Linked DNA regions of Oryzias latipes. The protein of the gene in region 1 purifies or fractionates together with the protein of each later gene. This does not show direct contact. Links are inferred from orthologs where the notes say so. Each region holds a gene or a part of one and is shown in the gene's direction. Other genes may lie near its edges.

The links.
Region 2: the proteins of E3 ubiquitin/ISG15 ligase TRIM25 (region 1) and g3bp2 purify together in Homo sapiens (affinity purification with mass spectrometry; 4 studies listed by BioGRID and IntAct, counting the BioPlex papers as one, with this or other methods). This does not show direct contact. The link is inferred for Oryzias latipes from reciprocal best matches to the Homo sapiens genes TRIM25 and G3BP2.
Region 3: the proteins of E3 ubiquitin/ISG15 ligase TRIM25 (region 1) and igf2bp3 purify together in Homo sapiens (affinity purification with western blotting; 3 studies listed by BioGRID, with this or other methods). This does not show direct contact. The link is inferred for Oryzias latipes from reciprocal best matches to the Homo sapiens genes TRIM25 and IGF2BP3.

What each region holds. Positions count from the first base shown.
Region 1 is NC_019859.2:4,840,808-4,845,036, forward strand, and holds part of E3 ubiquitin/ISG15 ligase TRIM25, read left to right. Parts: intron 1-378; coding exon 379-547; intron 548-629; coding exon 630-656; intron 657-1,818; coding exon 1,819-1,872; intron 1,873-2,026; coding exon 2,027-2,083; intron 2,084-2,665; coding exon 2,666-2,773; intron 2,774-3,182; coding exon 3,183-3,245; intron 3,246-4,229.
Region 2 is NC_019859.2:16,816,081-16,821,100, forward strand, and holds the start of g3bp2 (ras GTPase-activating protein-binding protein 2), read left to right. Parts: upstream 1-1,985; 5' UTR 1,986-2,178; intron 2,179-4,023; 5' UTR 4,024-4,047; coding exon 4,048-4,142; intron 4,143-4,223; coding exon 4,224-4,305; intron 4,306-4,680; coding exon 4,681-4,854; intron 4,855-5,020.
Region 3 is NC_019869.2:10,791,027-10,795,876, forward strand, and holds the start of igf2bp3 (insulin-like growth factor 2 mRNA-binding protein 3), read left to right. Parts: upstream 1-1,549; 5' UTR 1,550-2,105; coding exon 2,106-2,280; intron 2,281-2,971; coding exon 2,972-3,032; intron 3,033-4,850. UniProt on the Homo sapiens protein: RNA-binding factor that may recruit target transcripts to cytoplasmic protein-RNA complexes (mRNPs). This transcript 'caging' into mRNPs allows mRNA transport and transient storage.

The sequences.
Region 1 (4,229 bases):
TAATAATCATAATAATGATAAAATCACGTTTAGAAGATCATCTCACTCCACGCTGCAGGTTTGTTTGTTTACAACAGAAATCAATATTTCCTCTTCTGTGGTCGTTTCCGGTATTTTGGAGAGTCCTGCACGTCCAAATGATTTGTTCCGACCAAAAGTGTGGCGTATGTAAACGTTTGTTATAATCGCATAAGGTTTTTCTGGGACCATGTACACAGTTCAATTCTAATTCGATCTTTGATCCACTAGTGGTGTCTCACCTGGTTTTATGGCTCCACACCTTCATAAAAAAAAGCTCTTTTAGATGTTAGAAATCTCACCCAGCAGTGTGTCTGTGATTACAATGAGGTGCATCATGATCCACCCTCTGTCCTGCAGACGTCATTCACACTCCCCCAAGCTGTGAATTTTGAGCCCTACACGCCTCGGGTCACCTTGGACTCCAGCAAAGTGATGGCGGCAGAGATTTTTCCTGCTGTGCTGAAGAAACACCTGACGGAAATGTTTGGACATCCTGTTGCAGCGCGGATAGAGCTGCTCAAACCGGGTCAGTCTTCAGCTGCGCTGACGGGACTTTTTAAATCCTTTTTAAAAATGTTGTTGGTGAATTCTGTTCAATTTGATCCCAGCGGTAGCCACGGTCTTTCTTCAAGCTGGTGAGTATTTAGAAATGAAAGTATGGGACGGGTGACCGAATCTGCAAATTCACCCTTTATCATATTAAACTGTAATTTTTTCCCCATCATTTTTATTAAAATCCACAAAATGAATTCTGTTAGATCCCACAATGATTTAGAAATGGAGAAATTCTTTATCAATATTTTCTGAAAAAATAAAATGTGACTGGATCTTTAATTTTTTGCATGAGTATTGTTGATGATTGTCAGAAATTTAGTTTTTCGAAGACTTGTTTTTTGTACAAAATATTTCTTTCATTGGGTTTTCTGCAAAAATGGTCACTTCTTGTTTATCTTCACATTATATGATTAAAGTATGAAATGTTTAAAAGCCCCAAATCTATGAGATCAAATCTGAATAAGCTTAAAGTGAATGAAAAAAAATAATTTGAAAAAAAGACATGGCAAAATATGATTTATATCACAAAATTGCACATTAACCAAAATTTTGTACTTTTAAAAAATTTAATTTGAATTTGGCAAGTTTTAGCTGTAAAGTTAGGCTATTTTTTTAAGTTGTCAGTATTTCTTCGAATTTAAGTTATTTTTCCTAAATTTATTTATTTATTTTTTTAAGTTAGTGTACTTTCTAGTTTAAAACTTATTTTAATTTTTTTTATTTTCAAATAAACATGAGTGTTTTTTTAAATGTACAATCTGGTTTTTCATTCATTTTAAGAAAATCCTGATTTGACCCCGTAGTAATCACGAGAAACCATTAAAAATCGTTCAGTTGTGAAGGTTAAACATGAGACAAAATACTTCTTTTTTTTTGTCCAAATAATGCATTAAATCAAAATTTCTTAACCAACCCCACAGCCCAGTCATCATGTGGATTTTCCAATGGTTAATGTTTTATTTTGAAAGAAATCTTAAGCACTATTATTTGTTGTAATGTGGAAAAAAACAAAAACTGTAAGCTTAGGAGTAAAAAAACAATTACATGTATTTCCCTCGTATTAAATTTTAAATAAAGCATAAAAATATACATAACTGTTGCAAAACAAAACATGCTGTCAAATACGGATGTTTTATTCATTTATATTTAGCAATCCTGTTTGATTTGGAGGACCTTTTAGTCTATCGACTGTTGAGGGATAATAAAATACTGACGCATGGATTTGTTGTATTTTTTTTTTAGGTGCAGGAGCAGCTTCTTCTTTATCTTTGACCCCAAAAACATCTCAGCAATTGGGTAACCTATTAAAATAAATAATATTAAATAATTGAGGAATTTTACTCATTTATAATAAAATGATTTATAATAACTCACAAGAAAAATGAAACAAAATTGTGAAATTTTATCTAAAAGGATTACTTTAAATGCTCTATTTTTTGTCTTTTTTTAGAGCCTGGAACTCCCATCCAAACTTCTCTGCCTAAACCAGCCTCAAAGAAAAGATCAAGTAAGAATTGTTTGACTTTAAAAATGTAAGTTAGCATTATTAAATATTTACTGATCTTACAGTGCTGTAGCAAAGCAGGGTAGGGGACTTTCTGACATGTTCTTGTTGCATTTTTCTGACGTGGGAGGACCAACATTGAGAAAATTAATGTCAAAGTTGCATTTCTGAGAATTTTTTTTTTGATTCAAATCGCTGTAAATCAGGAGCAGACGCAAAAATACGGTTTGAAAAAGATTTATATTTGTATTTGTGACTAGGCGGGCCACAAGCGCCCTGTTCTTAGCTACTGGGAGGAAAGGGGGGTGGGCAGGGATGCCCCACATACATGGTCTCACCCACAACTGAGAGGCAAATTCTACTGAACTACTGCCACTCTGCAGAAACTGTCCTAGAAAACGTCATAGGTTTATTTTTGGCTAAAAACGTCATCTTTAAAAGACCACTGGGAACTCTTCTACAAAAGATCGAATGATGATCGGCGTTTGACTTTAAACTCCAGACCCTTTGCTTGGATTCTGCCTTAAATAATCCTTTTTACTCATTTTGATTCATGCCTGTATTTATTTTTTTCCCCTTTTTTAGAAGGCACCAAGTCTTCCGATGCAAGCGGATTGACAAAACGAGAGCTGTCCAAATCCATGGAACACCTTTTGGACCTGAAAGTACACAAACTAAAGGAGAAAATATCAGGTAGACAACGGGGTTTATTGTCTCGGGTTATAATCTAATCTGGTGGCAGTTCCACACCACAGTCTGGGCCAGAATTTCACCTCACAAACAGAACCAGAACTCATTAAAACATCATTTTCAGCCTTTTATATAGCATTGCCTTACATTACTCAGCTGAGTTTGGATTTCCTGTACACTATTCTGCTATCTTTTGTATTTTCTTTGTACAATGCAGGTTAGTCAGCTTCAACAACGTTATTCGTTATTCTTTTCTAAAATAATCTAATGTAGTTTTGAGCTTTGAAATGCAATAAAAGAGCAAGGGGGCAGATGTGGCAAATAGTGGGAATTTTATTACAAATACCAATTTTTTTAATTTAAACTGCTGTTGTGCCCAATTGAGCTGTTTTTTCTTTTCTCTCCCTCTCAGTTTTGAATGCAGAAATTGCCAAAGACATCGCTTCAGCTGAAAAAAGAAGTGAGCTCATGAAGTGTAAGTCTTGCAGTGGGGCAAACAACTGTTTGCAAGTTGTCCCACTTCCACAGAGATGCCAGAGGTCTGTAGTGTTAATGACAGAAACATTTCAACAGTTGGAGACAGAATGTAGAAGTCCAGGAAATCATATTGTATATGGCTGCACGATATGAGGAAAACTCGCAATATGTGATTTTGGTGATAAACATATTGCGATAAGAATATAACTTGCGGTAAATAAACAAAGAGTAAAACAACCAAAAACATCATTCCCATATAATTGCAACAGTTTAAAAATTATACTCCAAATGACCCTCGTCAACAGAGAAGGGGAACATCTAACATAATAGGACTCCATCTGATTGGTCAAATGCATAAATTGATTTATTGGATTCGTTAAATACTTCAAGCTGCCATAAGCTTGTTTTAGCACATTTAAGGTAACCATTTATTGCAATTTTTGCTGTCTTTTGCGATATGCGTATTGCACAGCTTGGTACTGCGATAGCGATAAATTTGCGGTATATTGTGCAGGCCTAATATTGTGTAATTTTTAAACAATTTAAGTAGTATAGCAATAATACTAGCGCATGTCTGCCGGCTACAGTTTGAAGAGGCTCGGTGCGAAATGTCAAAGCGGTACAAACCTCGCTCCAGACTTTATCTTTCACAGTTCTATTGCGATAAATGAAAGACTTTGTGTCGTGGAATTCCAGCCGGGCACGAACCGCAATGATTAATTTCTCCTCCATGATTGCTTTTCCGAACATTCGGGACCTCCGTGAATTAAAGCGGTCGTCGTTGATTTTTCACTACCAAATCCAGGAGTCGGCCTGTTTTAACTTGCAACGCGTTTTGAACGTAGAGTCGTAAAAAGGCACGTAGCTACACGTCAACGTGACGGTTTCAAATGCTGAAGCCCGAACGTTTTCATTGGAAGTGGCATTCAAGCGCCCACCTACAATGAAACAGTAACTTGTATAATCCCAATTCATTTTATAG
Region 2 (5,020 bases), about 12 Mb from region 1:
TTAGTCCGTCTTTGAATAGTCCACCTCCACTCCACTTGTTATCCTAAATTGGAGGCACCTGTTTGAGGTGATTAGCTGCATAAAGGCACCTGTCGACCCCACACAATAAGACTCTAACTACTAACGTGGCCAAGACCAAAGAGCTATCCAAAGACACCAGAGAAACAATTATAGACCTCCACAAGGCTGAAAAGGGCTTTAGGGCAATTGGCAAGCTGATTGGTGTGAAAGATTCACCGTTGGAGCAATTATTAGAAAATGGAGGAAGCTAAACATGTCATCAACCCTCAGACTGGGGCTCCAAGTACAATCTCACCTCGTGGGGTCTTAGTGATCCTAAGAAAAGAGAGGACACAGCCCACAACTACATGGGAAGAGCTGTTTGACCTCTTCCTCCTCCACTTTCATCAAATCAAACTTTATTTATAGAATAGCGCTTCTCATGCAGTTGCACAGCTCGGAGCGCTTTAACATTAAAAACAGAAAACACACAATATTACAGTAAAAACCCAACCCACCCTTCACCCTTCCCACTCCCCTCCGTTAAAACATATGACCCATGGCCCCCTACATATAAAGAATAATGACTATGTAACTTTAAATAAAATAACTAAATAAATATGCAAACAAGTATGGCTTTGCTCTGCTGTGAGGAAACAGTATTTGGGAATCTCTTCATGCCAGGAGCCAGCCTGGCCATGGGAGCATCGCCACAGTGCCCACCCAGACGGGGACAACACTCGGGTCCACTTCACAGACGTGAAGCTGCAAAGTTAGACTCCAGCTGCCCCAGCAAGGGCAACAACTGCAGCAACAACCACCGACCAAGCCGGCAAGCCCTGGAAGAAAATATCCCCACAAGAAACACTGGGGCTAAAATCATGATAAGATACTAAAATTAAAGATACTTATACTTACATAAAAGTGTCGACCTGTAAGGTAAGAGTAAAACCACTTAAGAACATTTCCAGAGAGGCCCACTAGACTCCTAAGTCTGTCTAATAAAATCTGGTGATCTACTGTATCAAAAGTGGCACTCAGATCTAGCAGTACCAGAACAGAAAGTTCTGTGAGTCGTAGTTTATTCTAAGATCATTAACGATCTTTAAAAGAGCCGTCTCTGTACTATGGTTTGTCCTAAAACCAGACTGATATTTTTCTAAAATTTTTTGGGTGATTAAAAAGTCATGCAGTTGAGTAGCGACACTTTTTTTTTAATAATTTTACTTAAAAATGGTAATTTGGATACGGGTCTGTAGTTATCCAGATTTTTTGGATCTAACTGACTCTTCTTCAGAAGGGGCCTCACCAAACCAGGGGAAGACCCCCATCTGAAGAGAGCAGTTAACTATGTTTAAAAGATCGGACTCAAAGAATCCATAAAATGTTTTAAAAAGTGAAGTGGGAATGTGATCCTAAACGCAGGTTGTAATGTTTACTTGAGATACAACTCGATCAAGCATCTCTGCATCAACAAGGACAAATCATCTTCCTCTTCATCTTCCATATCATTTCTCAACAATACAACTAGCAATCCAAATTCTTTTTTTTTTTTTTTTGCTAAGGTAAATAAAAGATTAAGAATAATGCATTTAATAAAAAGGGAAATCTGAATAATCCCGATAAAAATAAAAATAAATGAACAACCTATTTAAACAATACATACGTTAAAATACAGTCAAGATAAAAAAAAAAACATGGAGGAAGAATCTGTTAACCGTATGGGATTGTACTGGTTTTGTCCAATTACTAGAGACTCACAACTGAAACTGGAAAGTTAACATTTTTTAAAAGACAGAATTTGCCAGCATGTGAGTGGTTTTTCTTAAATCGTGATTTTTTAAAACTATAAGTATACATGTATATTTTGTAATGAAAGCGTTTTGTTAGTAGGCGTGGCCATTTTTCCTACGCCATGTTCACCTCAGCCGTCTATTGGCTGAATCAGGTTAATGGGGGTCCCCTACCCGAGATTACAGGGGTAAAATAATAAATCGTACCTATCTCTTTAAGTGGCGAATCTCTGGTGCAGCAGAGATCTGTTACTTGTAGTTAGAGGAGGTTCGAAAGTATAATTTTTCACATTCGGCATTCCTATATTTGGGAACAGTTTACAGTCGGGTACTTGTCGTAATTTATTCCACACGATTCTGTCTACTTTGATAGGTCCTTCAGAAGGTAAGTTAGTTAGCCATTCTCCAAGATTTCGGTTAAGCGAAGCAAACGTATCAGCTAGCATTGCGTTAGCAATATTGCCTTCCACACAACAACTGTTCGATTGTATTGTTGATATTTACAATTTTCAGTGAAACGGTTTTTTTTAATATAAGCAACCGTACTCCTAACTATACACGGGGACATTTTGTGATTCAAAGAGATTTGGAACACGCTTTCCTTTGTTGTCTTAAGCTAGCACCGACCGAGCATTCAGTTGTGGTGGTGGTGTTCAACGTTAAGTACGAATTTGGATGTTGATGTATTGACATAGCAAGAAAGTATTATTTCAAACATTTTTTTGTATTGATTTTTTTGTGTTGTAACCAAAAATACGATTTTAAAATGAGGAAGTTATTTTTACGTGTTTAGGCTAAGTTTCTGTAATGGCTAGTATCGCCAGGTGTTGCCGTCATCATGTTGGCATTTTCTATTTAACAGCTTGTGGTCAGCATTTTGGAGGTTTCCTGAACTAGTTTGTTGCAGTTGGTTTCAATAGTAATATAAAGTTAAAAATAAAATAAAAAATAACTTAGTCTATAACTGACTGTGAAGAAAATGCGACGACGCCACACGTTAGCTGAAGCTAGCTAGCTAAGCAGCAATGACGTTCTTCTTAGGGGTTAGCTGGCGTTAGCCATTTGGTGGCAGCGCAAAGGCCGGCATATTGTGAATAAAAATGTTATTTCACCTTGTAGTTAATGTTACGTTTGCTGACAGCGCGTGCACATTATGTCTCTACAAGCTCGGTAGAATTGGCATTCAGTAGAGCGTTTATACGTGTCTGTCACATTATGTTCTGAACATGCGTAGAAGAATGTTAGGTGATGAAGAGTTCTTAGGATGTGTAAGGCCTCCCCATAAGGCCTCTAGTCAGGAAGGTTTGCTTAGTTGTGTAACACATTCTTGAAATGTGGTGACAAATAAATGTAGAATTCTTTTTTTTTTTAAATTTTTTAATCTTCCTTTTTACACACCAGTTTGAGCATTTACACTAGATGTTTCCCGTTTTTTATTATGTACAGTCGGTTTGCCCCCCTTTGTCTTATTGATGTCGCAGAATGTTAACCGTTATGAACACCTTTGATCCGGATAAATGTTGTGATGTTCACGGTTTTCTCTCTTTTCATTACTTATTCATTTGACATGCTCTGAGAGAAAAATGTAAGGTTTTAAGTAATCGGCCAATTAGAGGAATCAAATGAATAGTTGGCCCTAGTCTGAAATTCTTATAGAATTTAAACCTGAATTTGAACGCTAACCAAATGACTCTAGGTGAGTTACTCATTACAAACAGCCTGGTTTGGGTTTAAAGGTTTCAGTACCTGCTTAAGGTCTTTATGATCATGGTAAAAATCTTCTTCAATTTTGCGTTTGTTTTTTTGTTGAAATTTTTATAAATGTTGTCCAACGTTTTAGATTATCTAAAGTAATCAAGGATTGGACTGGGTTAAAAACCCTAAATAGAAACAAGAAAATTTGTACTTTTATTTGAGGAAGATTAAATATGTCTTGAGATTTTGACATGCCTGTTTTCGAACAGTTGTCCTAAAGGTTACCGAATTATATTATCCAGCATTCAGCGATGACCTCTTATATTGTGGAGTTTAAAGTAGAAATAAGTCAGTTGAAATTCTATTTTATATCTCACTTTGTCCTTTACATGGTATTTTCTTGTTTTATATAAATTACTTATATTATATAAAACATCAGTCACCCGAGTCTGCAGTATGAAAACCTTTGTCATATCTGTGTCTTCATGCATAATTAGAATTTCTGATGGATCCTGTTTTTTTTTTTTTGTTTCAGCACTTAATATTGTTTACCAAAGAAATGGTGATGGAGAAGCCAAGTCCCCTGCTTGTAGGGCGGGAGTTTGTGAGGCAGTACTATACACTTCTAAACAAGGCACCGGATTTTCTGCACAGGTAACTTCAGAAATATAATTGAGGTATTTTATGTACAATAAATCTGCAGGTTCTTATTCAACGTCTTAATCATGTGTTTAGGTTCTACGGGAGAAACTCTTCCTATGTTCATGGAGGACTTGATCCAAGTGGAAAGCTGGCAGAAGCAGTGTACGGTCAGGCTGTAAGTGTGATCATCAGAAGGATTTTGTTGTTTGCTTAGACTTCAACTACTTTCTGTTCTTTGTTATTGCTTTTCTTATATTTACTGAGATCTAGTTCTCTATGGGGGAAATGCATATATATATCTATATATATATATATAGATATATATAAATACACACACACACACACACACACACACACACACACACACACACACACATAAATACAAGGTTTAAAAAAAATCTTTGGACTTTAAAATTATACAGCTTATTTAAAAATGTTCATCAATATTTAAATATAAATTCAAGAGTGCAACTTATGAAGGATGAGTGTTTTACATAAATTGTTTTCGTATTATATATTTATAAATTTATTTATTTTTTAATTTTCCTAGGAAATCCACAAAAAAGTCATGTCCCTGCAGTTCAGTGAATGCCACACAAAGATCCGGCATGTGGACGCTCATGCTACACTGAGTGATGGCGTGGTCGTGCAGGTCCTTGGGGAATTGTCAAATAACGGCCAACCTATGAGGAAATTTATGCAGACATTTGTGCTCGCTCCAGAGGTAAGTGCTGCATCCTTTTTTTTTTTTCAAAAAGTAGAGTTGGTTGTGTTTGATAACTCTTGAGGTTTAAACTTCCAGCTTTTAAAAAAAGTTTAAAAAATTTTTATGTTTTAAAATGTGAAAGGAACAATTTTTAAATTGCAATGGCATCACTCTCATAAATGGA
Region 3 (4,850 bases), on another chromosome or scaffold:
ACCATGGCCCCAGTCTGGAGCGGTGAATGAAGGGCCCACTGAGCCAACGGTGCCTCTGGAACCTGCTTTACACACAGCCACACTTTTCAATTGAGCTAATTAATTACTAAAAAACACAAACTATGTTAAAGGTCAAATTTGTTTTTAAACACGTTTTATTTATCATTTACATTTTTTTTAAATAGTATGAAGCATTTAAACTCTTTAACAAAGCACATTGTTGAAGTTCTTTGTAGCCAAATAATGTTGTGCGTATCAAATGTTGCTTTAAAAAGAACAAAACAAAAGTAAAGTAGCTGACACAAAGTATGCAAACTTCTTAATTGTTGTGTGTTTGGAGCAAGTTCTTTAGGTTTTACAGAAGTTTATGGTAAAACAAAACTCCTCATACCTCCAGCAATCAAAAACAATTTTAAATGTACCTCAGGAATCGACTTAATTAGTTTATTTGTACCTTTTAGTTGGCCACTATTGCAAAAACTAATTTCTTTAGCTGTTGTAGCATACTTGAATAGATCGTACACTTAAAATGTTCCAATTTAGTCTGAATAAGTATGCAGTTAGTATACTCTACGCTACACTACATGATGGTAGCAAGTATAGTAGCCTATACTTATGCTCAAGCACACAATGAAATAAACTTCAACTGAGCTACTTTATGTTAAGAGGTTTCCAATAACTTTTTTTGTTTTGTTTATAACAAGTAGAAAATTTGGTTGGAACTAGATTAAAAGATGACTTTTTTCACTACCAACAGGTTTGGATTCTGTCTGACGTGGACGTAAAAGTTTAACCCCTGCTTATAATTTACTTAAGATCCTATTGACAGTTGTGTAATGTTGCAGTCATGTATTGCACACGTGATTGAGCTGGGCTATGCGTTACATAGGTCGCTCGGGACATACTACCAGTAGTAGAGGAGACCCCTCCCTCTTTAGTAAATCCATGCCAGACAAGATTCGCCATGTGCGTTTGCGCCACATGGCTGGGGGTTGTGCACAGATGCCTAAACATATGAAAGTAAAAAGCAGAAAAATCAGATTTCACATTAAAGTATACGATCTTAAATGTTCAATTTATGTAAACACGAGAAAAAAATGGCCCCCTGTTGGACTTTGAGCCGTGGATCAGACTCAGAGAAGCATGGCTCTACGCCTGCTAGAGAAGATGGACGCCGTCATCAGGTTGTCATTTCCACTTGAGTGCGAGGGTCCGAAGAGTGCGCGCGGGGTTCTGCCAACGCTCCACACATACCTGCAATTAAATACATCCGATATGCAATTTAACAATACAGTGTAACATTATTTATGAATGGCCACACCCCCTTCTCCCTCAACTGTGTCATCAGTTTAGGGCACGGCGCACCCGCGCGGACGAGCACCAGCAATTTTCTGTCTCCCTGCTATGGAGTGCGCGTGAACGCGCAGTCGATTTAATGTTCCCCTGTTGACCAATGACAATCAAAGTTTTGCAGAGAAAGGCAACGATTGTGAATCCAGTTAAGATGCACTACTTTCTCATGGAATCCCTTTACGCACAAGATTTTCCCAACACCAATCCACTCTTCCCCTCCTTTTTTCTTCACTCCCCATTGCTGTCCCCACCCCAGATTCCCGTGCAATTTCCCCCAAATACTTAATTGAGCAATTGGGAATCCTCACGTGTGGGCTGATTTGTAGTTTGAACACGTGGCTCATTCAAAAAAGCCGGAATAGCAGAGTTTTTTTTTTTCCTCCTCCTTTCTTCTTATTCTGGGCTGTAGACTTAGAGGCGGGCGCCAGCCTCACCGTGTGTGACATTCTCTGTCTCTTTGCCAAGGGGTTTGGAAGAAGACACAAAGTAGTTTCTCCTCCTTTTCTCCCGGCCCGCCAACGTTTGGAGATTAATAATTGAGCGTTTATTTATTGCGCGACAGAGAGCGAACGCACACCTAGGCTGCCAGTTTAAATTCTGAGGCTTGAACGACCGGGAAGCACGCCACAGCCGCTCAGTCCGTAGTAGTAACGGCGACGCGGGCTACTCCACGCACACCGCACTTGCACATCCACGGGAGTAGGTAACTGACTCTCCCTCCGCGTAAAGATTGTCCCCTCTCGGCGTGGAACATGAATAAGCTTTACATTGGCAACGTGAGCGCAGAGGCGAGCGAGGAGGACTTCGAAAGTATCTTTGAGCAGTGGAAGATTCCGCACAGTGGTCCGTTTCTGGTCAAAAGTGGCTATGCGTTTGTGGATTGCCCGGACGAGAAGGCAGCGATGAAGGCCATCGATGTTCTTTCAGGTGAGACATTTTCAACAAATTCACAAAGAGCCTCCATTTAGGATCGTCTTACTTCGTTCATTGCCCCCAGAAATGCATGCATGCATGCACGAAGGGCGGGGGTGCCTTTTTTCTTCTATCACACAACCTTTACGTGGCCTTTAGACTCCAGGGGTTTAAACATATGGGTTTAGGTGGAAAGTCTTTTGGCTTTCCTTGATTTTAAAAAGCAGAAGTAAACAAAACGACATGAATACAATGGCTTCGTGTGGCGTTCAGGGCAGCTGGGGCGCAGACGCCTTGAGAAGTGGACCTTGTTGGAGGTTCACTGACAGCGGTGTGTTTCTACCTTTCCACCCACGAAGTTTCAGTTTCCCCGGGTTTCAAAACACGGGCCCTCCGTCTGCGTGGTGAAGCCATGTTGCTGACACACCAGGTGGTTTAATTGTGTTGGTCAAATGTAGGCCAACTGAATGAAGCCAACAAACACGTTTGGTTCTTCTTTCACTTGTTTTCTCGTAAAATATGCCTTTAACGCACAGGTTCAGGTGACCTCAAATAGATTGTAGATGGGAATTGCTGTCGTCTTTATGCGTTTAGCTTAATGGAGAAAATACGCTCATGTTTTTTTTTGAGAGAGAAACTTCCCATAAAGAGTGAATTTTCTACCGGAAGGTCAGGATGTTTCTGAAGTTGCTTTTTTGTGTTTTAGGTAAAGTTGAACTCCACGGGAAACTTCTGGAAGTGGAGCATTCTGTCCCTAAGCGTCAAAGGTAGGTTTAAATCATATTTTGCCTTTTTTTTTTTAAATAAAAAAAATCCAAAATGGCAGTTTCAGTTTTTATTTGGTTCCCAGCATAGTAAATTCAGTGCATTGTTCAATTTTTTATTTTGCGTAAAATAGTATTTCCTCTCCCTGAAAGCTCAGGGGTCAAACACAAGGGGCGTGTGGAGGATTACTGTACTCCCTTCTCTCCGCTTTGCTCCTAAACCGTTGTGCTTTTGGCTTTCACATGCTCTCTTTTGGCTCTCCTGTTTACACATCCACCCTTGTTTTCGCATGTAGTGCCCAATATATGAGCTCCAAGCTCATGGCGGCTTGTAACCCTCTCAGAGCGCACGGCGAAAGGAGCAAACGTGAACGCAGGCTGGATTTGTGGCGTGCAGGCCTTGTGGAGTCGTCCATTTGAGAAGGATCTGCCCGTCATTCTCCCTGTCTGCCCTGCGCTTTCGCCCTCTTCAGCATGTTGTGCTGCTGTTTGCATGAGATGGACTCCTCAAATCGCGGGTGGAATGGGAGGCTTAGGGCCCAACTCGCGAAATGTCTGTGTGAGAGGTGGAGCGTTTTCAGGCTTTCAAAAAACAAACAAACAAAAAATCTTTAGTGCTCCACCAAATCTGGACGTGTGGTGCGTATTCCTGGTGTTGGCGTAATTCTGCTTGCATTGATGTCGAATTGGGGTTAAAACTATTAGATCCAAATTTAACATATTTTATTTGTACTAAGTTGAATCACGAAGCATGTTTGCGTGTTTACACCTAAAATATATCCCTTTTTTTAAACTAAAAAAATATCAATGAGTCTGTTTTTATAGAATTTCCCTTTAAAGGTTAAATAAAGACAAACTATTGGTTAAATTGTATACCAAGAGGTTTTTATGGAATAGCTTTTAAAAAGATCACAAAGACAAAACCACACACATTGTTTGACACAGCTTTTAATAAGAAAATAGAGAGGGGAAGGATTTGATTCTTGAATTTAATGTTTTGTATATTCAGGTTGTTTTATAGTGGGGGGGGGGTTTCAGCCACACTGGGGCTGGAGTAAATTGAGCTCCCCCTCTCTCTGTAGAACATGGAACATAATCATACTCAATGAAAAAAGAGGGAACCCACACCCTTGTAAGCTTGGGGGGCACTCTTTTTGCATTACAGCCTGTATATTTCAACAGGAGGGTTGGCCAATCAGCATTGCTTAACCTTTGAACTCCACAGGAAGAGGAAGTGCTGCAGCAGTCAGGAATCAAAATAGGGTGGGGACATTTAGAAAAAAAAAAAAAAGAAAATAAAAAAAACTTGGAGGAATGAGCAGCATGGCGATGTTTCACTGGCTCCTAATAGTGGTTGATTCTCTTCAGTTGTGTAAATGTGATAAACCAGCCCCTCCAGATAATACCCCCCAGAATGCACTGTATACAATTAGGCAATTTATTGTTTTCAAATTTTTTCATTTTTTTTAATGAAATTCAGATAAAATTAGTGTAAATGGAAATAAACGTTGAGTGTTTTTTTTAAATAAGTTTAGAAAATTATGCTTGAGGCTGTTATGTATAGAAACCCAAATAAGTTGTGAAAAACAATCTGTGTGCACTGTGTGGAAGAAAGCATATATTTTTCTCAGCAAGTTTTTCTTTAATTAATTTAAGCCTTTTTATTAATGTCCAGCTGGTACAATGGAAGTTTTATTTTATTTGTGTGTGTGTGTGTGTGTGTGTGAGTGTGTGTGTGTGGTGGAACCATAGTGTCTAGTAGCTACCTAGTAAGCTTCAGCACTTGTTCAAGTTGGCTTCCAATTTAGAATATTATAGCTT